Drosophila melanogaster: one gene and its partners. The gene in region 2 interacts genetically with the main gene of each other region. Each region holds a gene or a part of one and is shown on either strand. Other genes may lie near its edges.

The links.
Region 1: of osa (region 2) and net, changing one enhances a phenotype caused by changing the other (phenotypic enhancement), as found in Drosophila melanogaster (2 studies listed by BioGRID).
Region 3: of osa (region 2) and Kr, changing one enhances a phenotype caused by changing the other (phenotypic enhancement), as found in Drosophila melanogaster (2 studies listed by BioGRID).
Region 4: of osa (region 2) and ro, changing one suppresses a phenotype caused by changing the other (phenotypic suppression), as found in Drosophila melanogaster (2 studies listed by BioGRID).

The regions. Positions count from the first base shown.
Region 1 is NT_033779.5:81,918-89,052, forward strand, and holds net (net), read right to left. Parts: upstream 5,471-7,135; 5' UTR 5,176-5,470; coding exon 5,103-5,175; intron 2,361-5,102; coding exon 1,351-2,360; 3' UTR 504-1,350; downstream 1-503.
Region 2 is NT_033777.3:17,715,314-17,720,002, reverse strand, and holds the start of osa (osa), read left to right. Parts: upstream 1-1,652; 5' UTR 1,653-2,047; intron 2,048-3,068; 5' UTR 3,069-3,236; coding exon 3,237-4,151; intron 4,152-4,689. Other genes in the region: Pxt (Peroxinectin-like), read right to left, coding at 267-432. UniProt on the Drosophila melanogaster protein: Trithorax group (trxG) protein required for embryonic segmentation, development of the notum and wing margin, and photoreceptor differentiation. Required for the activation of genes such as Antp, Ubx and Eve.
Region 3 is NT_033778.4:25,224,644-25,231,922, reverse strand, and holds Kr (kruppel), read right to left. Parts: upstream 5,313-7,279; 5' UTR 4,972-5,312; coding exon 4,935-4,971; intron 4,562-4,934; coding exon 3,090-4,561; 3' UTR 529-3,089; downstream 1-528. UniProt on the Drosophila melanogaster protein: Krueppel is a gap class segmentation protein. It is involved in the segmentation of the embryo and in the differentiation of the Malpighian tubules.
Region 4 is NT_033777.3:26,876,253-26,882,970, reverse strand, and holds ro (rough), read left to right. Parts: upstream 1-1,799; 5' UTR 1,800-1,865; coding exon 1,866-2,406; intron 2,407-2,511; exon of another isoform or gene 2,512-2,625; coding exon of another isoform or gene 2,626-2,886; intron 2,887-3,134; coding exon of another isoform or gene 3,135-3,377; exon of another isoform or gene 3,378-3,492; intron 3,493-5,194; coding exon 5,195-5,429; intron 5,430-5,801; coding exon 5,802-6,078; 3' UTR 6,079-6,200; downstream 6,201-6,718. Other genes in the region: CG5500 (uncharacterized protein), read right to left, coding at 2,626-2,886, 3,135-3,377; ms(3)K81 (male sterile (3) K81), read right to left, coding at 6,461-6,718.

The DNA of each region.
Region 1 (7,135 bases), on a different chromosome or scaffold from region 2:
GCCAATGCTCAAGTCATTATATATGTACTGATCGGAAATTGCTGTTTTTAACCTGTTTTCTATAGGATTCTTAGCTGATGTAATTTGTTCTGGATATTGCACTGGGTCAACTAGATGCAGTTACTTTGTTAATAATATGCATAGTTAATAGTGTTGAGTTCTTTCAGAGTACGTCATGAGTTCTAATGCACTGTCAACTTACTGTGATATTGGTAAACTTTGTGCCTGCTAGATAAGCTGACAAATATATTTCCGAACCTGATAAGGGGACTAAGTTTTGCCAAAACTCGTTACGATAACGTGGATGCGTTCAGGTGTACTTAAATCGATAGCGTGCCGTTCTTTGCGCACCTGTTGAGTTTTTAATATCACGAAATAGCTTGTTGCAAACGATAAGATTGTTTAACGTACAGACATAAAATAACCCTTAAAGCCGTCATTTCTATATGGTTTCCTTTAGTGCGCTTGCACCCAGATGACTAATATTTTAACCGCGACCACCTGAAATCCCAACTCTATATAAAAATACATTCTCTTTATAGTAAGTTTTGTGTATTTCCTGATTCTATGGCACGTACACTTATGAATGTATACATGGGTACAAATATATCAATGTATACAAAACAATGAGATTACAATTGAAGAGGAAACGTCTACAGTTACTTACATAAACTGAAATTTGTTAAATTCTTTATTTAATTTCGTAACTACGGATTTTTAATTACTACTGATTATCTCTGTTGTATGCAATTCGTAAAAGAAGAATTGATCTTATTATAGAGGTACATGTAAAAAAATATACATTTTCATATTCAGTCCTAAGGTAACTAAAGTTGATGGTGAAATTACAACATTTTGGCAAAGCTTCTTTTAAAAACTTGTAAATTGATATAAAAATCCTGTTTGAAACAAGAAACTGAAACTTTTTTAGGTAAATATATAGTTTACATTATTGTCATTTACATAGGTTTTAAGGATGCCGATTATTGTCTTTTTATACACTCGTACATAGATGGCGTTGACTTTTTGTACTGACTAAAATGTTTCTGTAGGTAGAGATTAAATTATGATCACATCGCTAGTATTTATTCATAACAATGTCAATATCAAATACAAATTGTATGCAGGCATACTTAAAAATTTTTTTTTTAAACTCATGAAGTCTGTATATCTAACAAAGCCTTGAAAACTTTTAAAGCTATTAGGCCACTTCTGGCAAAGAATCAAAGCATGTGGATAGGAATGCTGTATGCAGATTAATCTAAGCTTAAGCACAAATATTTAAAAAAATAGCAGAAATCAGTCGCATTTAAAGTCTAAAAAAGTAAGTTATCCACGAAACTGGACAGATTACTCGTCTTTCTTTCGTTTCACTTTTCCCTCCGTTTGGATGGTTGATGTTACAGCTTCTAAGCACGTGGCAATGGACGGTACGGATTGATCGGCGCTGTAATCCTCGCCAGCCATTCTACTTAAGGTTAGTATATAGGAACACGCTACCCGAAGAACGGAGAGTTTGGAAAGTTTTTGAGTGCTGGCATAGGCTGGAACAGCTTGGCGGAGCGTTTCGTAGGCGGCGGATATGGTGTGTACACGGGTCCGTTCACGTGCGTTCGCCTCAATGCGGCGCTCCCTAGTCATATTCTTGTAATTGCGTTGATGTTGATGAGGTCGCGAAATTGGTGCCAATCCCGTCTTGTTCAGATCCTCATCGCTAAGACTAGCTTCTAAAAAGGAAGATGACGTTGATTCTTTTTGCGTCCTTTCCTTCAACGTTTTTTTGGCGGATGGCTGTTTTCCAATTAGCAATGCGGAAAAGGCCTCTATTTTAGGCCCCGCTTGGTCGACACATTGCTTTTTGGTCGTTACTAATGCGAGTGGTTCCAGCTGTTCTGGGTGGGCAGCAAGCGATCTGTGAAGAGTCGTAACTCCCGGATGGCGAACATATATATGTGCCGGATTAGGCATTATTTCATGCTGCAGGCGCAACGTGGAAGGTATGCAACTGTTGGGCGGTGGAGAGTCTATGGCTGGTGGCGTTAGGACAACTGCCGAATCGGCGGAAGATGTGTATCGTATGCGTTTCTTTAGCGGACCAGTTGCATTCATACTCGCACTGGACGGAGGACCAGGCATGGATTTAGAGTTGGGAGTCGTCAAACCTACGACTTTGAAGGGTTCCGAACTCTTGCGTTTGTTGCGGACAAGGGCTATTGGCTTGGAGTCCGCCGAGTCTGTTCCTTTTGGTCTGATGTCGGGACTGCCACTGCGCGCGTGCTCGACGACCAAGTCGTCTCCGCCTTCGCTTTCCGAACTGGCGGAACAAAAACCCGCATCACGGTCGTTGGAATTGGGTGAATCTAAAAATACCAAAAAATTTAAGAGTTAGTTATCTTCTATCTGTGACGTATTACGCCGAACCGGTTACTAATGTTTGGCATTTCGTATTCGTAAATTTAAAAAAACCCCCGTTTTCGCGGAACAGGCCAGCAAGCCGAATAGGGCTGCGACTGCCTTTGTGTGACACCCCTTCGACTTTTCAAAATTCAATAAATCCCAAATCTTTAGTTACTATTTTTTATTACCATCTGATCGAAACTAATTGGATGACGTAGTTTTGACGTATTTTCTTATCTATAATATGTTCTTCCACCCTATGAAATCTATTTAATACATTCAAATCGGAGGTTACATGAGAAGAAAGTCCATTATATAAAGTGAAATTATGCATTGATCACGAAAACAAAACAGGTTTCTTAATTTACCACTGACCTCCACAAGTATTGAAGTGCCGAAACGCAGCTTACTTGTTAAAAGTAATTTATTTCAAGTCTGGCGAATAAAGCCAGTTCAAGTTCAGCATGAAGCAGCCACTGCATCAGAAGCCAACAACCCGGTTAGCAATTTAAAAAAAAATCACAATGCATATAAACGAGCATACATACATGGATCGAATTTGTTTGCGATTTCAACTTTGGTTGTGCCAGCAAAGTATAAAGGTATAGAATCTGCTAGGATATTTATAAGTATTCCGGTATTTAAGCAAAAAAAAACTTTGTCTTCAACAGCTAATTTTTTTTGTAATCAATTATTGTGTTATCAGCCTATCCATTATATATATGTATATGTTTGTCAGCAATCATACATACAATAATTACTTGTTATTAATTTTAAATTAATTACTTAAGCTAAGTTGGCTAAGAATGAGTAAATTTATTCCCTGTTTGTTTGAACCGGTGCGGACACACATTTACGGAAGGTAAGCTTTTTGCATGTTTATTCAACTATTTATAAGCACAATATTCTGCTATCTTTTCTAATTTTAGGCAGATAAACAACGAAACGAAATTCAAAGCAACTGACTGACATTGCGGCCACGAAATCAGGCTGTACAAATAACATCAGTTTTATAGCCCTAACTCTATCCCATGTCTTGCGTGGTTTATATACCGCATTTTAATTTATATTTAGACAAATGTTTACTTTTAAGCCACCGTCCTCGCAGGCGTCGTCTAGTTTAAAACACCTGTGCCAAACGGAAACATTTTTAAAGCTTGCCAAGTTTTTAAAAAATAAATTTCTACCAATTTATATTTAAGTTGTCCGTATCAGACACTTAAAGTTACATCTAACGACCAAAGGGCAATACCTGCACATTTTATTTTATTTTTAGTATACACGGAAGAAGGTATTATTCTCGATTGTTTATATTAAGAATATTTTAAGATGTTTTTTGTACGCCCAAATTAGTTTATTTTTTATGGATCTGATCCGTCTTTAGGTGCCAAGTACAAAATAGCAAGTTTTGCTCAGAAATTGACAACGGTTTTCCCGTTATTGGCCTTTTTTTCTAAGAATGAATGCCCTCCTGCGAAAATCAGCTAAAACCTACTTAAAAACGGCAGACATTAACTGTCAGAGGCATAAGAAAATCCCATATTCACGCCAAAAGTCAACGAAAGGTTATCATCATAGGCGGCTTTTGGCTGGCGGTCGGTCCACTGGGAAGCGTTCCCTGTGTGGGAAGCCTCGTCTTATCATAACAAGTGCATATACTCATACGTACATAAATGTAAATATGTTATAGCGACTATATGAAATATATTGTAGTAAAATGACGCATCACTTTTATGAATGAATCGTAAGAACACATCCAGATCATGCAGTACTTTGACACACTTGGTAAGGACATTTTTACGTTGGTTATAAAACGAACCCAATATCATTCGGCTTTCCTGTTACTACATTGCGTTATGTAGTAAAATAATATAAGTGGAATTTTTATAAACTCATAGTGATCAATTTAAATTAAAGACACCTTATTCTATCCAAACCAATGGCCATCTAGACTAATCATTTCGAAACGTTGCTGATTAAGACTAGCATTTTAAATAAATGATCACAGAAACAAAAAATAAAATCGATTTTATGAAATGCTGACGTAAACAGTACCAACAATATGGAAGGAGTTAACGTCTGTCCTCGAACATTATAACAATCAGCAGGCGGTGGTGAAAAGGGACACACAATGCAGAGTCCAACTGTCGCTCCAGCTTCACAAACAGACAAATTGCCAATATGTCTGGCGACATCGTCGTCCCAAATTCGCCATTGCGGGCAAAGTGCTTGGCCGACATATGCAACACAAGACGAAAGTTGGAGTACGCTGGCGACACATAGTTGGCTTTATTTACGTATCTGTCTGCATCTTAATTGCCATCCTCACAAGTCTGCTGCTAATATGATTCTGCTGCAACGTGTTAGTTGGTGGGGCTTTCTGGGTGCACACGGCAGCACCCCCTATTAACAATGTTGGTCGTCAATTATCTTCAGTGTCTATTGCATAGCCTTGGGCCATAGCCTCCTTGCCTTAATGATTGTATTCGTTCTTTTTGGGTTTCGATTACAAAAATGAATATACAGCTATTTGACAAATTATTGTCGACAAATATTTTGCGGGAAATGATTATAATCATCCGACTGCAAGACATAAAAAACCTATGTATGTAGGTGTGTATATTTATGTAAGTATTTGCAGGTGCCGCACAATTCGCAGGCAACAGGTGCAGTGTCCTTTGCTCGTGCAAAAGGTAAATACCCACCTTTCATAATAATTGCTGATAATTCCGATGCGCTTAGTTGCATGTAAAGTTTTTCTGTGTTGGTATTCGCCATAGCCGCGAAGGACATTCAAGAACTTTAAAAGTAGCGCGTATCCGAAAACGGTATTTGAATAGTTTTGTGGGCTTATATTTTATTTATTCACAATTACGGGCTTTATGTTAACATAAACCTATTGAAATGTCACGTATTGTTTAAAGGCACTTTTTTAATTTGTGGTTTGGTTAAGCCGTATGTGAGCTTTGGCACTATCTTCAACTTATTAGAACTTTTTATTTTCACGATTTCTCGTAAAATCTTCTGACCGGAGCACGACTGTTCACAACGAAAGTATCTGACGGATTGAAAATATCTTGCGGATTGAAATGGCCTGCGCCAGGGACCGGCTGGCTTCATGCTAAAAGCAGCACGCGGTCGAACTGCGTTTGGTTATCAGTGTTGACCATTCAGTTTTTTTAGAGTCCGTTGTCCTAATGTGTGTATGGCTTGAAAAAAATTGCGCCCTTAGCCAGAAAATATATTTCTTCCATAAGTAAATTATATGCTTAATAAGAAATAAAGTATTTATCTTTACAAGAAATATATAAATACTTTAAAGCAAAATTTTGAACAGCTAAGTTTGCTAGGCCTCTGAACTTATTGGCACCAGAAATATTAGGCAGAAAGACCTGCCAGCACTGTGGTACGAACCGCTGGATCGGTTCGCTGTCGAACATGTTTGACTACCACATTATTAGTTTTATGAATGAAAATATTCGCTCGCTTGAGATTTGCGACTAGAAAAAATTTGTATTCAACTTATTGATTGCAAGTATTACTTTTCTGCGGCCTTACTTATGTTTCAATGACAAAATGTCTTTTGACTTTTTGTAAACTTATCGGGATGAATATACATTCAATATTTTGGACAGAAAAAGATCTTAAATGCCATTGAATTAGGTAAGATTAATTAATTTCGGCTGCTCTCCATTTTGCAAAGTTTGACTTATAAGGCTGTTAAAGCCTCTATCATAATCAGGACTTTATTAAAACAGTTTATTCTTCTTGCAACATTGCTGCTGGACACAACGCATATACCAGCGTCAATTTCATTTGTGCATACGTGATAAAATATGTATTAGTATGTATTTCATCTGCGGATGGCACTGGCGAAGAAAGTAAAAGCAACGGTCTTAATAATGTCAACATTTAATTTTAGTATTGCACAAGCTGTTCGATTTTTAGGCATAGAATGGTCAGTTTCTTAGATAGTTTACAAATATTTTATTTGATACGTATGTATTTTTTTAAACAGAACTCGTCATAATTTTGTAAGTTGGATTATCATGGCTTCTTTTATATTTATGTATGTATATATGTATATGCTTGTATTTGGAAATTTATTTAAGTCAGGATGAATACCTCCTTACGTTTTGGATAAAAAAAAGATCAGTTCTAGGAAAAAGTTTAAATTTGCTGATCATTCTTTCGAACGCCGCACAACAAAAAACTTGCCGCTGGAATGAATGCAAGAGCCAGTTCCCTAATATCATTAGGGTTCTTTTCGTCTTTTTGTCTGATATCCTTAGCAGATGTACACTGGGCACGAGTTTGAGTCTGTCGCGCGAAATGCTTTTTGAATGATGACTTTCGTTTTTTTAGAGACTTGTTCTGCTTTTAAAGTATGCGATTGGGCTGCGGCCTAACCTGTTTTCTTCGATTGGACAGACCCCAGACTTCACAATCTCCAGTGTAGCAACCTGAGCAGTCCTCCGCTACCGCCGTTTAGGTCGCGATCAAGCCTTTGTCAAGCTGGAAGTTCAAGGATAAGAATGCTGGACTTCCAAAAATGGTTCGTGTACGTGTCGGCGAAATTTGATCTGTTCCTTTAAAAGTAAACCATTTTTTCCGTACGCCCCAGCTAGAATTACTTCGGAATCATTTGCAAAGATTTTTTTTAAAATTAGGTAAAGTTGCGGTTACTGATTTGGCTTCTGTATGAGGACGGGCTCTAAGTACATGAAGTCAGTTTGGC
Region 2 (4,689 bases):
TTACGAAATAAAAATAACCATAAAAATATAATTTTAAAATTGAAGAAACAATTATACTTTTATATTATATTGTATTTAATTTTACAAAAATTTGATTTTGTTAATTATGTAAATATGAAAGTTTTTTATGCAGTTGTTTTCAGTGTAGAGCGATTAACCGTAACTTATATTCACAGAGAGCGGACAAGAACACTTTCACCCTTTACGCCATTTTGAAATTGCCGAGATATTCAATTTATATCACTAAACGTACATATGTAACCAACCTTTTTCGGGTTTCTTAGAAGATTCAGTGGAAGTGGCCAGAGGTGCAGGAGTCTGCAAATCAGGAACTTCATCAAAACGATTTTGGCGCACAGAAAATGCTGCCGCCTGCAACTCGCTCAGTTGCGTCACAATAAGTAGCAACAAAATAAATAAAATGCGACTCATTATGCGTTTAATGAAACATTTGTTGGCTTATACTTAAAAAAGAATCGACAAGCTCAACCTAATCGTGTTAAATTGAACTTAAAATGCCGCCATTTTGCACTCGATACCAGGAATGCTCGATATCACAGCAAGTCGAAAGCAGTGTACTGTAATTCTCGTACGTGTGCTGTTAATGTCAGTAACATTTTACTGTTAAGCGCAACTTCTCTTATTAGCAAATTGTGCAAGCAGTTCAAAAAATAAAAATGTTCAATATAGAATTTCATTAATATTATAAAAAAATAAACAAATATTTTTTTAGTTGATATCCTTGGCAAAAAATATTTTTAAAACCTATGAGTAAAAATCCGGAAGCCAGTAAATCGAAAACCTAGTGTTCTACCAAAATAAATTTAATAAATTTTAACAATGTTTGTGACAATGATCAATGCATAGGGCGACTATTGATATTTAGAGTTTCACAAAAATTAAAATGTATTGCATCAATTAAAATTAATAAAAGAATTTGTTTTTGTGGATTAATTACGTTGATGTTGTTTACGTCTATTTTAAAATTGCTTATGCCGGTAGTTTTGTATGGAATCGATAATAAGCAAACCAAAAATCACGAATATATCGATGTTTAAACTCGCTGTAGTTGCATAGTTCTGCCACTCTAAATTCAAGTGGTTTGTTAACGGGGGTATAAACTTTCAAAATTGTATTTACTCTCTTATAACTTACCAAAATTTTATTATTATTATATTATTGCAATTATTGCAATTTTGCAATTTACCTTAAAAACTTTAAATTGACGTATTTCTAAAACGAAAGCGCTGGCCACGAATAAGGCTTTCTAGTTTTTATAACTTTTACATCTTCACAAACTTTTACGTGCTTTTATTCGAAAAAAATGGAAAATTTTAGCACGCCGTTTAATTTGAGTTAAGTTTCCGTTTAAAATACCGCAATAAAGATGGCGTCCCAGAGTAGCGAGAAATCGATATCGATGCCAACTCATTTTTGCGTCACACTCAAATATCGCTAATTCGCCAGCTATTGATTACCATATATATTTAAAAAGCGAACCAGAACGTAAAATAAATATTCATTGAAGTCCAATAAATAAAAATAGTATAAAATATGGATAAAGCGATAAAATTTCGTGCTAGAGCTATCGGGGGCTATCGAAACGAGCACCGATAATGTATCGCAGTGCCAAATACTCGTACGTATCGATACTATCGTGCGTGCTACCCGCTCTAATCTTGTACAGGCTCGCTTCTTCGTCATGCTGCGAATTTGTTCGAAAAATAAGTGAAATACAGCGCATTAATAGTGAAAAGTATGTGCAGCCTGTGCAGGGCCCAACTGGCGATTAGCCGCGTGTGATTGTGGCCGCCGTATCAGCGTTTTGGCAGCGCCCAGCCTGGCGAAAAACCATCGAAAAAAAGAAGAGAAAAGAACGCCAGGCGCAGACAGACAAGACTTGCATACACTACTACTTGAATCGTTTCATTTCGTTCCGTTCGTATACCGAGTTTGCTGCCCTGTCCCTGTCTTCTCACGCGAGTTCGTTTTTAGTATATATAGCCAGTCTGTGGACGGTCGTCAATGCGTGAATATTCTTCTATGTGTAAGTGGTGTGCGTGTATGTAGATTTCTGGTTAAGAAAAGCCCCAAAAACCAAAGCGCCCCGCAAAATATATATTGAGTCTTCTTGGCCCAACAACAAATCTGCCGCCGGACTTTCGCCCGAGGGCGAGTGAAAAATTCAGTTTCTCTCCTCTCGACGATGCACTTTGGAGGCTGTGTGAGTGTGTGTGCGAGTGAGTGCGTGTGTGTATACATATGCAAATGATTGGATGTCGAATCCTTGCATCATCATCATCTTCATAAACACTTGGCGAAAAACCGCAGGAAAACGCAAGCAGCCGAACAAAAAAAGAGAGCCTCTCAAGACAACGGCAGCGGCCAAAAGTGAACGCGCAACAAACGCGGCCAAGCAGGCGCGGCAATTATTTATAAATCTTAAGCGTTAGCCCCCCTCTCTCTCCCACTCACGAAAAGAAAATAAGTTAAACAATTGTGAGATGATGCCCCCTCGTCCATTCCATTCCAGTGCTGTGTAAACGCGAAAAATCGGCATAGAAAATAATTACGAAAAAATCATTACTGTGCTGCCCGTTTCATTCGTTTCACACAGAAACTAATAAAGCGAGCAAGGGAGAGAGTGAGCGAGCGAGCGAGAGCGCCATATGCCTTCAGCCTGGATGGCGAGCAAGTGCAAGTGAGACGGAAAGGGATACGGCGTGTGCGTGTATAGCCGCCAAATGTGAAAAGAGAGAGCGAGAGCGCCAACGAGAGTGGATGCGCTCAAACTGCGAGAGCGGTTGCGGCAGGGTTGTCAACGCACTACGATTTGCCCACCGTACGCGGCGGAAAATAAATTGTTGTGGTATTGGTGCTGCCTGTTCGAGTGAGCATGTGTGTGCGTGTGTTAGTAGCGGACTTTTCAATACACAACAGCCCACGAACGAGTACAAATTATTTATGTTTAACCCGCTCGATTTAGGCCCAGTGATATAGGACTGCCCCCTTTAATAAGCCAGACCCCCTTTGCCAAATGCTAATCCCCCGTTTTTGATAACTTGCAGCTAACATAACCTCAAACTCGCCGCTGCAGTCGTCGTCATCATCAGCGTCAGCGTTGTTGTTGTTGGTGGTTACCGGTGTTCCATCAGTAGCCGCCACACATCTGGGAAAATCCGATCCGGAAAATCTGGGAGATCGGGAGCAGCGCAGCCAGAAGCCGATGAGCAGCCATGAATGAGAAAATAAAGTCGCCGCAAACACAGCAGCAGCAGCAAGGTGGCGCTCCCGCCCCTGCTGCCACGCCCCCATCGGCTGGAGCGGCTCCTGGTGCCGCTACACCGCCAACCTCGGGCCCGCCCACACCCAACAACAACAGCAACAACGGTAGCGATCCCAGCATCCAGCAGCAACAACAAAATGTTGCCCCACATCCATACGGCGCACCACCGCCCCCAGGATCTGGTCCTGGAGGACCACCAGGACCGGACCCAGCTGCAGTCATGCACTATCATCATCTGCACCAGCAGCAACAGCAGCATCCGCCACCACCCCATATGCAGCAACAGCAGCACCACGGCGGACCTGCACCACCACCGCCCGGAGGAGCACCTGAGCATGCGCCCGGTGTCAAGGAGGAGTACACTCACTTGCCGCCGCCTCATCCACATCCGGCGTATGGTCGCTACCACGCCGATCCCAACATGGATCCATATCGCTATGGCCAGCCGCTGCCAGGTGGAAAGCCTCCACAACAACAACAGCCACATCCTCAACAGCAACCCCCGCAGCAACCGGGGCCCGGTGGCTCACCTAATCGTCCGCCCCAGCAGCGCTACATACCCGGTCAGCCTCCGCAGGGACCCACGCCAACGTTAAACTCTCTGCTTCAGTCCTCGAATCCGCCGCCTCCGCCGCAGCATCGCTACGCCAACACCTACGATCCCCAGCAGGCGGCCGCTTCGGCGGCAGCGGCAGCGGCGGCTCAGCAACAGCAGGCCGGTGGACCCCCTCCACCAGGACATGGACCGCCGCCACCGCAGCACCAGCCATCGCCGTACGGAGGGCAACAGGGCGGCTGGGCACCGCCACCAAGGCCCTACAGTCCGCAACTGGGACCGTCACAGCAGTACAGGACACCACCACCGGTAAGTGATCAAAAAGGGGATATTTGGGGATAACAAGGATAACATGCTTTTTTGGGATAGAAAAGTTGTAAATTGAAAGGTATATTTAGTTGCGTTCACGAGAAATCATTGCAAGTCCATAAAAATGTTTGAAAGTTCTGTAGATACAAGATATTGTGGAAGATACATCTAAAAGTCAAGAGTATTCGGCTTAAATAGTCTCCGAACTTGAAATAGTTGTAAATACTTTGTTCCGGTGTAATACGTTGTTTAGGAATGCCTTGAAGTATTTACCAAAAGCAGTGTTTTTATGATTCGTTTTAATTCACAGCTTCCGAAAATAGAAAATGCGGTTGTCTTTTCAAGTTATAGTATCTTATTTCATATTTATTCTCAATATTGCGGGGGCAACCTTCGGCTTTAAAGTAACGAAAAACTGGATGGTAGCTTAAACGCCTTCCAGGATAGAAACTTAATGAAAAGGACACAATAAATGTTGTGTATTCTGTAACAAAATAACCATTTTCCGAAAAGAATATTAAATGATCTAGTTGTTGCA
Region 3 (7,279 bases), on a different chromosome or scaffold from region 2:
GGAGCTTATAATAATGTCTTTCTTGGATAAGCGCCAGTCTTAGAATTTGTGAGCAGAAGTCTGCTGGTAAAAATTATAATTTTTCAGTTTAAATAATAACGACAGTAAGTTGGGTGCGTCGGCGGTTCTTTGCCAGCGAAGGCCTTAAATTCATTTTCAAGGCCTTTTATTTTTCATTCCTTTGCGGAACACGAAATATTTAAAAAAATCGTAAACTCATTTGAAAGTTTTCTATGTCCAACACCAAACTATTTACTCGGCAGCTAAAAAAAAAGCTTTTGAGGGTGAGGATTGGGGGTTCGAATAAGATATACGTACCTATCTACACTATAAAACTGGCAATTACCAGTTTATTCCCGTTTCTTCTTTTAACTTATTTATAATAAGCTTTTATTGGTAAAATTAGGGTAAACAGTTTTAGCATAAGGTTTATTTGGCTAACATTACGTTTAACTTTTTAATTATTGAATTGTTTTTATTTACGTATACGCTCATAGAGTATGTTTACAGAAGTCTAAGCGAAAAAAGCCTAAAATGCTAATAAGCATCACAAAACGTGAGCATTTGTCCTGCGTCTCACTCTTTTACTCCGTTTTATATATGTACGTGTGTAAGTACATAAGACGTTCTTTATGTAATACTTGTACATACAATTTTATATAGAGGGGGCTGCCAGGATGAAGCCTTTTTTGGCTGTTGAAAGGGGCACAAAGAAGAGAAGGCGTCAGTTCCGCGGCATGGCTGAACGGGAGGCGATTGGTATGAGTGGGTGGCGTCGACTTTCTTTCATAGCATTGTAGATGTTTGCTCTCTCTCTCTGGAGATTAAATGGAAAAAACACTGTGACATTTTCTGACTGCGCGGCGCGATTTTTATATTCGTTTTTGCTCAGCTGCTGCCGTTGCCTGCAGACGTAAATTTAAATTCCAGTGAAGGGATGGATGAATAAAGGGGGTGACGTGGGGAGGAACGTGGCGACGGCATTAGTGGGGCGTCTTGTGGCAAATGTAAAATAATGCGAAAGGGCTTCGTTTGCATAAATTAAAAATTTATGTAATGCTGCCCGTTTTCTCTTTTACGAAAAATCGAAGAAAGCTGTGGGTAATTTTCTAAAGCGGGGTTGCTACGAATATTTTTTGCTTTACACAATTATCTCATATGTATATACATATATATACATATATATATTTATATTCATTTATTTTTGGTTTCCCAGACAGCAATTTTTAAATTTAACATAATATATTTCGATTTTTATGTAATAAATACATATTTGCCGATGTATACATATGTATTTATTATTGATATAGGTAGAACATTAAATTAGAGAAGAAATAGTTATGACAAAAAGTAACAGTTTCGTTTACTATATGCTAGACTGACATATCTAATGCAATCATGTACCATAAAATACATTTTCTAGTTTATATTTACTGACGTATTTTACAAGGTGTATGTGTGTATGTCTTTAAAGGGTTAAAATTAGCAACCCCCTAATTAACACATATAACTCTTATTTTTTGATACATTGCACATCCCTAGCCACAATTAGGATTATAATTTATTTACATAAAAATTGACTTGTGATTTTATAAATTTAATTATATCTATTGGGTTAAACGTCGAATGTTGCTGTACACAATTAATATGATGTCTTTCGTGCGCTGACTTTCAAATGATTAGAAATGCACTCTCTATTTTAGTTTATAGCTCTTGTATTCTTTTAATCTTGAGGAACTTGTATACCATACATTTGAATGAACAAAGAAAATTACATATTAATTTGTTACATTATTATGACTACAACGTTTTAAAATAAAAGCAGTAAGCTTACCAATGAATAGAACGAAAAATTGCACTAAATTTATTTCAAATTGTTATTGTTATATACAACCTTATATACTTTTATATGTAATTTGAATTGGCCTAGTATTTAAAATTAATTTCTTATTTTAGGTCCATTTAAATATGCATCAAAATTTTAATACATATAAATTGTTTATGCTTCGTAGTTTATATTCCTAAGTCTTGTATATAAATTCAGTTGAATTGTACGATTGCCAAATTGTTGAATGTATATACTGTTTAGCTCACAACAATTTCGATACAGAGGTATTGGAGGTATTTGGTTATAGCAATTTCTTCCTGTGTATTTGGTTCAAGTCTTACAATTAAAACTAATAGTTACGAGTGTTAAGATAAGTGGGATTACTATACTTTCGATACGCATTGATCTACATTAGGTTATTATTTTGGAATATATATTAACGTTTCTTATAGTTTGCAACAAAAAAAAAAAGATTTTCAAAAATGGATGCGTAAACTGTGTTTAAGTTATGGCAATATGAAATAAAAGCGGAATCAGTTAAATATTAACGTTACCATTGATTTTCTTTTTTCTTTATTGTTTATATTTGAAGCAGCAACAATTAAACCAAATATTTATTGAAGTATAAATATAAAAGTGTACATTTAAGAATGATCTTTAAAAAAACAGGATTAACTAAATTTTTATATTTAATAATAGTTTTAAATAGAGAATGCAAACAGAACAATTATCAAACAAATGTTTTTTATTATTTAACTTAAAGTTAGTTTTGATTTGAAGATTATTGGCATTGTTTTCTTAAAGAATTTGATTAAATTATAAAAAATTAAGCTAATAAATTAAATAAAATTAGTTATAGATTTCCTAATTAAACTTCGTGTCTTTTATTTTTCTGCAACAATGCATGTTTAGAGCGCCGATTACTTTACAATTGGCAGCTGTGTAAGCTGAATATGTACAATTTAAGATTCCGAACCTAAGAATATAACTTAAATTTAAGGTAAAGAATGGCACGACATTTTCGATTTGATTTGGTGGGGTTTGGCGGTAACAAGCATACGGTATGGCTTACTTTGTACAATTTCGACTTTTTTGTATGTTATTTTTTTTTAAACTTGTACTTATCATTATATTCCTGTTGCAACAATTTTTACTTTCCACTTTGAAATAGCAAAATTTTCAATTTTGTGTTAATAAATGCCAGTCAATTTCATCAAATGAAAACTGATTAGGGCTATGTACAATTCGGTGTGGTACTGGCCTAATGTTGTTGATGGCCCATATAAGAAGCCGGGGCATCATCTAAATCATACAAGTCAATATCATCGGTTTGCTCGTGAGATCCGATAGAGCGAGGAGAGTGCATGCTCAAATCCTCTGGCTCGGTTTGCTCAGGCATATCACTGGGTACGTGAGGGATTTGCGGTGGAGGCAGCCGGAAAACCCGACGAATGTCCTGTGCCTTGCGCCGTGCGATGTTGCTGCAATGGCCATCCACAGAGCTGGCTCCATCTTCAGACAAATCCAATGGACCATCGTCCTCCGGTGTCGCTTTTTCCATGTCGACCGACTCATTCGAACCTCCGTAGGTGGCACACATTGCCGCAAATCTATTCGTGGATGCCTCGATAGCAATTGCGGAGATTGCCACGGGGTAATCTCCACTCATGGCCGGTGAAAGCGCGGGAGTAGGCGGCGACTGGATGCCACACTTGTGATTCATCAGATGGTGGCGCCGTCGGAACTTCATGTGACACCGTTCGCACTCGAACGGCTTTTCACCGTTGTGTACCAGCATGTGGGACTTAAGCTGATTGGAGTCACTGAATTTGCCATCGCAGATTTCACAAGTATAGGGACGCTCTCCAGTGTGGACTCGCAAATGTCGTCTAAGATTGGCCACCTGAACGAATTGACGATCGCAGTGCGAGCAATGATATGGTTTTTCTCCAGTATGCAAACGCATGTGGGTTTTTAAGTGATGGTCACGAGTAAACCGCTTGTGGCACTCCGGACATTCGAAAGGCTTCTCACCGGTGTGGGTGCGTTCGTGGTTCTGAAGCACGTGCTTATAGCCAAAGCTGCGTGAGCAGATTTTACAGGTGAAGCTTTTGTCGCGAGATGGATCCTTGGAGACACCGACACATCCAGCATTTCCACCCGCTCCGTCGTGCGTTGAATTAGGAGAGCTGCCACTGGAAGGCGGAGATATTGGGCCTCCCGATGTATGGTACATATCGTTTACACTCATGCTGATCTCGGTCTGAAACTCCTTCTTAACCGATAACTTTCGAGCCTTCTTCGCTGGCTCATGGTGCTGGGGAGTGCTGTTGGGGGAATTTAATGGGTGCTTGCCACTACCTAAAGGAGTGGACAGCGGCGAGTGCGGGCTGGCTGGCGGCGAATGTAAATGCGTACCCTGGGGCGGGAGCGACTGTTGGGCAGCCCAAGCCCCAAACAAAGCCGCCGGATTGTGTGGAAAGAGAGTGTTGGCCAATGTGCTCATGGGCAGTTGGGCCATGAATGCGGCAGCTTGACGGTTTGCAGCCAGAAGTTGGGTAGGTGAGAGCATTCCAAAAGCTGAGGCAGCGGCCGCCTGTTGGAGACCCATAGCTGGATAAATCGCAGCGGCGCTTGTAGCTGATGTGTTGGCCGACATGGGGGGCGATAGCGACATGGAACGGTCTAGATGAACGTCCTCTTGTTTTATGCCAGCTAATGCAGCAGCTAAGGCTAAAAAAAAAATCATAAGTTAGTATGTTTTCATTTGGAAATGTCTTAAGAGCAACGGCTTAAAAGAGAAAAAAATTTTACATATGATACATGTGTGAGAGAAAGTTTCGTACGGAGAGAACTCTTAGTGTTTTCGCAGCTCTCTATTTTCGTCTAACTAGTTTTTGTTTTGGTCGATAACGAGTTAAGTGCCGGTTCCTGTCCAAACATGTAAACAAATTCTAACTAATCGGTATGTGTGCAATTACATTACATTTGTATTTTCTATCCTAAAGACATCGGACTGTTTAATAATGAGAAAGTGATCGGGGACTCTAGAACTTCTAGATAGTTTACAAACTTGGGGAATATTTTAATTTGGTCTAATACTTACTTCGCGTTTGTGCGTCTTGAAGCATTGATATGGACATCAACAAATTCTTCTTGTGCTCCTAATTTTGTGCTCGCGCAATGTTTTCCCGCACACAGAAAACACCTATAATATTCGCCTTCGTGGTTTTGGAGCTTCAGTTTTTTAGACAACAAAATTTCATTTGAGCAATTTGTGCACTTTCAGGGATATGAATAATTTTTGTACACACTTTTGTACTTTGAGGTAGAGAGATTTCACAAAAATTGTCTTTTATAAAAGTTTACCGATTTAGCAAAATGAGGTAGTTGAAATTTGATTCGATTATATTACTCGCGGTTGTGTGTGGCACAACAAATGGTTGTTCCTTTCGCTGACAGAGCCAAATCACGACTGATACAAATTCGCTGCGTGAGCTAACTATAAGTACGCTCTGTCTCGGCGAAAGATTCTCACTCACCCTCGTACGCACACACGCCGGGACTCAATTGGCTCTCCCGCTCACACGCACGCAAATAAGGGTGCAGACAGGAAGGGAAATCATCACGGCGAAAGCGAAAAACGATCCCCAAGCCTGAGCAGGTAAAGTAAAAACTGGGTACTTCGCTGAGTTGAGTGAGTTGATTTCATCGATTCCTTTTTATACCTAAAAGTGCTAATTTTTCATATGCAAATTGGTGCGAATGAGACAGCTAGAGGTTCCTTTCAATGCAAAAGATATATAGTCAGTTAGAGTCAAATATGGACGATGTGGTTTTTTAACATAGGTTGTCGATGCGAATTATCTTCGCTGAGTAGAGGGTTTTATGACCTTTACGTTTCTAGTCAGTAATAAAACATAAAAAATCAGAACTATGTGTTGACCGTTAAAGGACATTTTTTAATGCTTATGACCACTTCCGCTTGTGTTTTTTAGAGCCTTCATAAAAACTGCACTTGCAGGAATATTACACCACATAAAGATCACGTAGAAGTTTTTAGAGTTAGTAAGGGACGCACAACAAAAACTCACTCAGATGTGCCTTTGTCATTTCCCCTTTTTACATTTGAGCTATAGAAAATAACTAATGTGTCTAAGGGGGATGAACGCCAATGGAGAACAGGGCGAAAATGAAACAGCGAGAGCAAAAGAGCCAAAATTCATGAAAAGAGATGTCACGGACGGGGTTGAATTTCAAGCGTGCGCTGTACGAGTAAACAGGAAGTAAACAAAACATCGGCTTAAGGAGTGCAGAAAGTAAGAAAGAAGGTCGACGGTTTTTTACCAGCTATACTGAGTGAGTTTTTTGTCTTCCTTGTAGCCTGTTGAGCAAAGTCTCAAAGACGTGGAAGTTCAGTTTAATGGACAACTAATTATTGGCACACGTCTAAAAAAGAAATCGTAAAAAGGAACTAGTAAAAAACGGATTCAGGTAGAAAGGAAATATAATAAAAAATTGTAAGAGAGCTGCATCGTTGAAATTTTCTTGCTTGTATAGACGTTTTCTGTGACTTTTGCGGATTGACTTTTAAATGGTTTTATGTAGATTTTTATGGCAAGGACATGCTATGTTAAATTTATGTTGAAAATCGGTATTTTTGGTTTTGTAGGTAGGCCAAGGACGCTCAGAGCTCACCGGGTGGTAAATTTGAACTACCGTGGATTTTAAGAAAGTGAAACCAAACAAAAGCAGAAAGGCACACAAATATCCTTGCTCTGCATAATGTTACGTAAAATTATAATGGTTTTGTCATCGAATGTTCGACTTCATAGAAAGTTTTTCACCAAAACAAAATTCGCAGAAGGCATTAAATAATATGCAAGCAAAGCGCTTAAAACTGACCCTATTGATAAGAAATTCTTAAATTTCGGGCTGAGCTGACCGGTTTTAGAAAATCTTCATACGATTCCTATGTTTCGGCGATTAGTCAGAAATTTTTTTTGGTTGTTTGCGTGATAAGCAGAGGCTTGATATTGAAAGATCCACTTAAGCTCAACAGATTTTAATAAGATCCGGGCCTTATCGTTAATGACTTTGTCGGCAATCACTAAACTAGAATAGTATCAAAGCGAGTAAAAGAAAAATAGACTAGATTTTGATTGGCAAAGCGAACTAAAGATTTCCGAGTGAATGGGGCAGAAGTGCGTGTAAAGTGCGTATGGTCGAGGCCGCTGATAAGGTCCGAAATATGGGAACTTACCTGGGTCAACAAAATTAGTTTAGTTAGTTATTATTCTTTAATATTAATGAGTAGTTTGTAAAGCTGGGTCAAACTCATATTCTAATCGCGCTAAGCTTTATTTTCAAAGAAACCACGCGCTAAGCTAAAACATTTTAAACTATATTATTTTTCGCAAGAATATATCAATTATTGAGCAAATATATGAA
Region 4 (6,718 bases), 9.2 Mb from region 2:
TCAAAAGAAATCCCACAATAAGCCCCTCGCGAATGCCTCCGCCCACGCCTCTGCATGTGCAAGCGGGATGGCCAGAGGCAGGAAGTTCTGCGTGCGAGCGAGAGGCAGCGTGCACCCTTAGCGCCGCTCATAAATGTCAATGGAAATGAAAAGGCTGATGTTATTGTTTTTTTTCGTTTGTTTTTGGATGGAAAACAGAATGAACAACATGTGGGTTTCGCTTTATTAAACATCGCCTGGAGGAGGAAATGCCGAAGAGGCTCTACACACGACAAAAAATATACAAACATTCTAAAGACTCAAAACACTATGCTTAAATATTTGCAAATTTATTTTAAGGTCTTTCAGCACAATGATGTGATGTATTGATGTATAAATTTAAGGTTACTGTTTGTAATTCATTAAATATGATTGTTTTGCAATTGATTCCAATCCAGTTTGATTACTTTTTAAGTCGAGGTTCATGTCTGAATTTCATTTTTCTGTGCAACCAGAAGGTATTTATAAATTGAGCTCAAAAAAATAAAACGCACGAAAAATGTTCAAAAAATTTGCATATGTCAGTGTAACAAAAAACCGAAATTGATGGATGGAAAAAAGTCGGCGACTGAAAAACACACACTCGCGGGCTTAAGCCAAATAAGCTCTAAACGAAACGAAACGAGTTTTAACAAAATATTTTTGCATTGCTCAAACGCAGCTCAGAGCCGTCAGAGAAACAAACACAAATGCACGCCGGGGCCAAATAAAAGCCATTCAATTAATATCCGGACAGAAAACAACAAACAAAAGTCGCTGCAATTTTTCTGGTTTTATTTGTTTTGCACTGCTCCCATTTTGTGGTGTTTGAGGGGATATGGGAATTCGATAAACAAAATCGAAATTGGCCAAAATCGAAGGGATGTACCTTTTTTTTTCTTATTTTCGTCACCACTTGTTGGTCTTTGTTTATTGTTATTATTCTTTATTGGCACTTTCGGTGGCTGCGACAGCTGCGCGAACTAACGGTACGTGCAAATCGGTTGCGCAGCGCAGACGGATTGGCAACATAACCGTAATCGTTTGTTTTTGTTTTCGTTCTTTCGATCACTATCACTTCATCGATACTTCTTTCCCAAAACAGCACACGTTTACGCACCGAAGTTTTGGGAACACATTATCCATGCTGATATAATCCACGAACTCGACTCGACTCGATTCGATTTGATTCGATCCCTCGCGCGCGCTATGTAAAATTACAGATAGTGGCGCGATTCGGTTGCTTATATAGACTTTTTGCCATTTAGACGGACCGTTTATGGTAGTTTGAAAAATGCATGAAATACATTGAAGAAGCAAATGCTGATTGCCCACCTCTAGGGATCTCGCTCTTAAGGTTGTTGTCCTCGCAAAGCACTGGCGAGGTAAGAAACTTGGCTAAACCAGGGACTGTACGCACACACTGCTTGTATGAAGACGTGAGTACTGCTTGCTTAAGAGTGGGCGGAGCTTATTTAGGCACACTGCTTGCCACCCTTAAGTGAAACTTTGGCCGGAAGTAAAATTAGGGGTTAATTGCACGGCACTTCAGCCAATCAAACCGGGTTTCAGGCCACACTTCAGGTGTTTAGTGGGAAGGGGGTCCTTTTTTTTTATTATTATTATTAGTAAGCAGCATTTTAGGCGCCCCCGCTGCTGCTGTTAATTTTCTGATGTGCCGCGTAATTTGCTTTGTTTTTTTTTTTCACCCAGTTCCTCTGCCGACGTCGACGTCAGGATAAGCGTCGCTTGACCAGCGGAAGTAGAATTATTTGTGGCACTTCAGTCGCTCGCCGATTACCCAAGTGATTAGTTTGGACAGCTAACGCGGCACATCCTCAAACGAAATGCAACGTCACAAAGTTGAGATTGGCTCACCCGACGGCTCGCCGGGCATCAAAAGGAGTGACAGCTTAGATCCCATAGCGAACACTACGATTCTATCCGTGCCGCAACGTCCCTCGTCGCCGCGACAGTTTTTCGAACGTCTGTACGGGCATTTGGAAACGCGCTCCTCGGAAAATGGGGAAATCGACGTCGGAACACACGCCCACAAGCCGCCGCCCTGTGACACGCCCTATCACAGCGATGGAGGAAGCGTCTCCTCGCCAGACATTTCCATCAGCGATGAACGCACCTCGCTAGCCGCATATCCCGCCTACGATTTCTATGGTCACGCCAAGGACTATCCGCAGCATCCTAGCCAGCAGCACCAGCAGCATCATCATCATCACCATCATCCGCCGCAGCTGGTGCACCAGAAACTCAGCTACGTGAGCCCGCCGCCAGCAATTGCCGCCGGTGGAGCTGCGAATCCTGTCCTGCCACACGCATTCCCAGCCGGCTTCCCAAGTGACCCGCACTTCAGCGCCGGCTTTTCCGCATTTCGTGAGTACTTACATTTAAAAAAGAATGGTTTCTAACAATGTGTAGAATATTTGCAAAGCTATGCAGAATCTTTAGAACTACGAAAATAACTTCTTCAGAACCTTAACTCTTACATGTTTATTTTGAGGTTTCTTAGTTCTTACACACTAAGTACAAGAGTAAATTTGAGCTACTACGAATTTGGTCCTAACTAGATATTTAGGTGAGCGGGGATTTGTACTACGGCGGGGGCGAGGATTTCTTTGGCTTTCCCTGCTTCGCTGCTTTCTCCGCCGCCGCCTTCTCCTCCCGCTGCTTAGCCATCTGGCGCAGCTCCAGGCTGAGGAACATCTTCAGGTTCGGGTCGGTGATCTTGCTCAGCACAATCTCTCGCGCCTCCTCATCGTTGTCGCCCAGCAGCTTGGCCAGCGTCTGTGCGTAGTCCAGCCAAACGCAGTTGGCGCAGCCCGACATGCAGCAGGTGGTGGGCTCGGGAGGTATCTGCAAACGATTATATAATATGCAATCTCTTGAGCCACTTTCCTCTTAGGATAGAAAGTTATTTCAGTATTGTGATAACAATTGGATCCTTCGATAATACTGCTCAATAGTTTTAGAAGTTCATAGAACTACACTAAGTTTTGTGTTACAATACTAGATCGATGATCCTTTCTTTCTAATGAACTACAATCTTACCAACTGATATTTAACCTATAATAGCAATGATAACAACTAGCTTACAACATTACCTCTATGTTTCTGAGCCGCTTCCTTCCCTTGGTGGTTTTATCTTTGGCTTTGGGAGTGTCAGTGCCCGTCGTTGTGCTATTGGGCGGACAGCCACTTGCTGCCTCCTGGGCGGCCGCATCCTTGCTGCTGGCATCATCCTGGGAGCTGCTGCCCGACAATTGGCGGGCCAGTGAGGCCCAACGCTCGGCGCCACGTCGCAGGAGCAAGCATCGCGGACAGCTGAAGCCCAGGGGAGCCAACATTTCCGCCCGATCCCCGAAAGAGTTCGAAAGTTACGATTGAAAAGGCCCAGAGGAAGTGATGAGCATTTCACACGCCTGCGCAGGTGCAGCCCAGATGAACTTGGTTCCGCAGGAACTGCAAAAAAAAAAAGTCGGATACGCAAAAAAAAACTGATTAATCGTCAGTGCTGCAATATTGAATATCCCCCACATCTTCGCACCGAGTGCGCTGGCCAGGATTATGTAAAATCAGTTGGAAAAAAATAAACGAAACTAAGGTGGGGCAACCAAGCAATGCCACACAATGAGCTGCTGCTGCTGCTGCTGCTGCTGACCCCCAAATGCAAAGAAATTAGCCAAGGAAAAAAAATAACCGAATGCCAAGAAAAAATTAAAACGCATTGAGCCGTGAAAGTTTTCGTTTACTTGCGGCTTTTTCGTTTGCTCCTGATGAGGTGGCCAAGGTGGCCAGGTGCGGAGATGAGGTTGAGGGGATATTGAAACATGGAAATGCGTCGGCTAATGAAAATGATCGCAGGTTAAGGGTGAATGGGTTAGCCATTCGTAAGCAAGAAATCAAAGTTAAAGACACTTTGAAACCTTTTCTACGAGCAGAAACGTATTCTACATATGCAAGCATTTTTTAGATTCAGAACAGTTGATATATTTAATGCTAAACCAGCTTGGTAGTTACTATAAGTACTTGATCTTTAAATTAACTAACTTACAAGCCAAACTTTTGGTCAATCTCAAAAAAATAACAAGTGTCTGAAAAAATTAGCATTGTAATTGAGCTCGGCAGGAAACCTAAAAAAGCAAACACAAACAGCAAGCGAGGAGGGTTAAGCGAGGAAGACTCATTTTTAGCCACAACAAACCGTCCGAAAGGACACTTGGCTATCGAATTACACACGTGATTTAAAAAAAAAAAAAAACCTTCGGCAAGGATCAGGGAAGAGCTTAAGCCCCTCCAGAGCCATCCGGACTAGGGGTAATCAAGCAAAAGCTAGAGATTACAACGCCCACAAAGCAACCCCTTCCCGGGGAAACCCCCCCTCCCCCCCCCCCACCATCCTAACACCACCGAGCAACTTGTCAGCTTCGCCTTGTTACATCAATTAGACTCTAAACCGCAACATTCACCATGGTGTGGGTGTTTGTGGTGGGTGTTCCTGGGTGGCAGGTGCTCGTTGTTGCAGGATGAAGTGGGGCATAATGTGCGCTTGGTTGAGCTTCATCGTCGGCGACACTGCGAATGCAAACAATCAAACGACAGAATGGAAAACTCGAAAGAGCGGATGATGCCGAGAATTTCGACGAGGATGATGATGATGATGATGGCCAGCCAGCTGTTGGCATTGTTATAACTTTCCCGGATCAGCATAGATTGCCGAAATGAAAAGCGTGGTAAAAAAAAAAACATAGAGAACAGAAACTACGTGGTAAATGCACTTTTAATGTGCACCACAAACGCGACCGACGACGAATTCTGGCAGGTGGGCGGGCGGAGAGAGCAAGAGAGGGAGGACGACGGATGGACCACGGATCGGAGTGGTTAATTATTTGTTTAACTGACGCAGCGACACGCAACCACATTCGAAAACGTTTAGTCCCGCTCATAACTTGATGGTTTGTTAATGTAAGATTAATTTCGCTCTAACATCTCCATTGTGTTGGACATAAACGAAAGTGGGTGGGCTGTGAAAAAATGATGCTATCCGACGGATGTCGTTATTGTACACACTGAATGGTGCGGGGTTTACATAACTAATAAGCTGATTCCAACTAGATATTATACACGTATTAATTGTAAGGATATCAATGTATTTGACTTTCAGTGGCTCGCAGGCGACGCAAGGAGGGAAGACAACGCCGCCAGAGGACCACTTTCAGCACAGAGCAGACGCTTCGCCTGGAGGTGGAGTTCCATCGGAACGAGTACATCTCCAGGAGTCGTCGCTTCGAGCTGGCCGAAACGCTGCGCCTGACCGAAACGCAAATCAAGATCTGGTTCCAGAATCGCAGGGCCAAGGACAAACGCATTGAAAAGGCTCAGATCGATCAGCACTACAGGTGGGTTTCCCCTTTAGCTAATTTGAATCGTTTTTTCTGTTTCATATGTACAAAGATATCATCGATTTTGATTGAGTTAAATAATATTAAATGAACATAAATTAATGGTTGATGAATAGCTCGTGAAGAGGATTTTAACTGGGTATTTATACCTGCATTTTCGAAACGGAAGTAATTTAGTGAAATGTCACTAGTTTAATTGATGGCCAACATGAAATTAACACGAAATTAATTTTACGACATTTATGCGCACACAGACCCAATTAGACGATATCATTTTTTTCCATATTTTTTTTTTTTTTTTTTTTTTTTTTTTGTGCCGGAGGGGGTTGCTCGAAATTATTTTGTACATTGATGTAATCAATTTTTCAGAAACTTTGTCGTGGCCAATGGTTTTATGAGCTCTATAATGGGTCAGGCTGCCACGACCATGCCCCCCGGAGGCGTCACTGGGGGCGTGGCGGTGGGCGTGGGCCTAAACTACTATGCCGCGGCAGCGACGCCGGCAGCGCTGCCCAAGGATAACACGCAGGATGCCAATTTCATCGACATCGATGACCAGTTCCAGCGCCAGCAACAACAAAAACAACAACAACAGCAGCAGCAGCAGCGACGTCGAGAAACAACAACGCCTATTAACATTTGCTAATACTTGCTAATTGATTACATTTATTTGAGCTTTAAACTGTTTAGATTAAGATCGAATAAAAGTCATTGTGAAAACATAACAGATTGCAGGAATTGCACTTTTCGAAGAAATCACTCACTGCTTGCCAACAAACTTACGTGTGTTGTTATGGACTCAGCATTTTGCACTTGATTTATTTATATAAGAGAGGGTTTTTGAGGGAAAACCAGGAAATTTGTTAAAAACCAAACAGCAAAACTAACAAACAATAATGCAGCCCTGGTGCTCAGCCAGCTGTTTCTGCTGCTAATAACATGGCGGAAACTATCGATAGATGGTTACATAGATGGTAACAGTGTTATTTCAAATTTAATTTATGAAAATATCCTAAATGAAACAAACATTATCCCCCAGTAGTTCCCGCCAGATAAATGGCCATAGCTTCACGATTTAGATGCACAAACTGGCGCCTTTTCGGAATTGGTTGGACATTCGGTAGCCGCGTTCCATTCACGGCATTCAAACTCAGATTCGAGCTGGGATCGTAGTCATCGGAGAAAAGTGTATCGTCGGAAGAATTGGACTCAACCAACTGGCTTCCTGCTCTTTGAGCCGCCGCCGCCGGCGCTGCGCTAGTGGTTGATTCTTGCTCCTCCGAGGA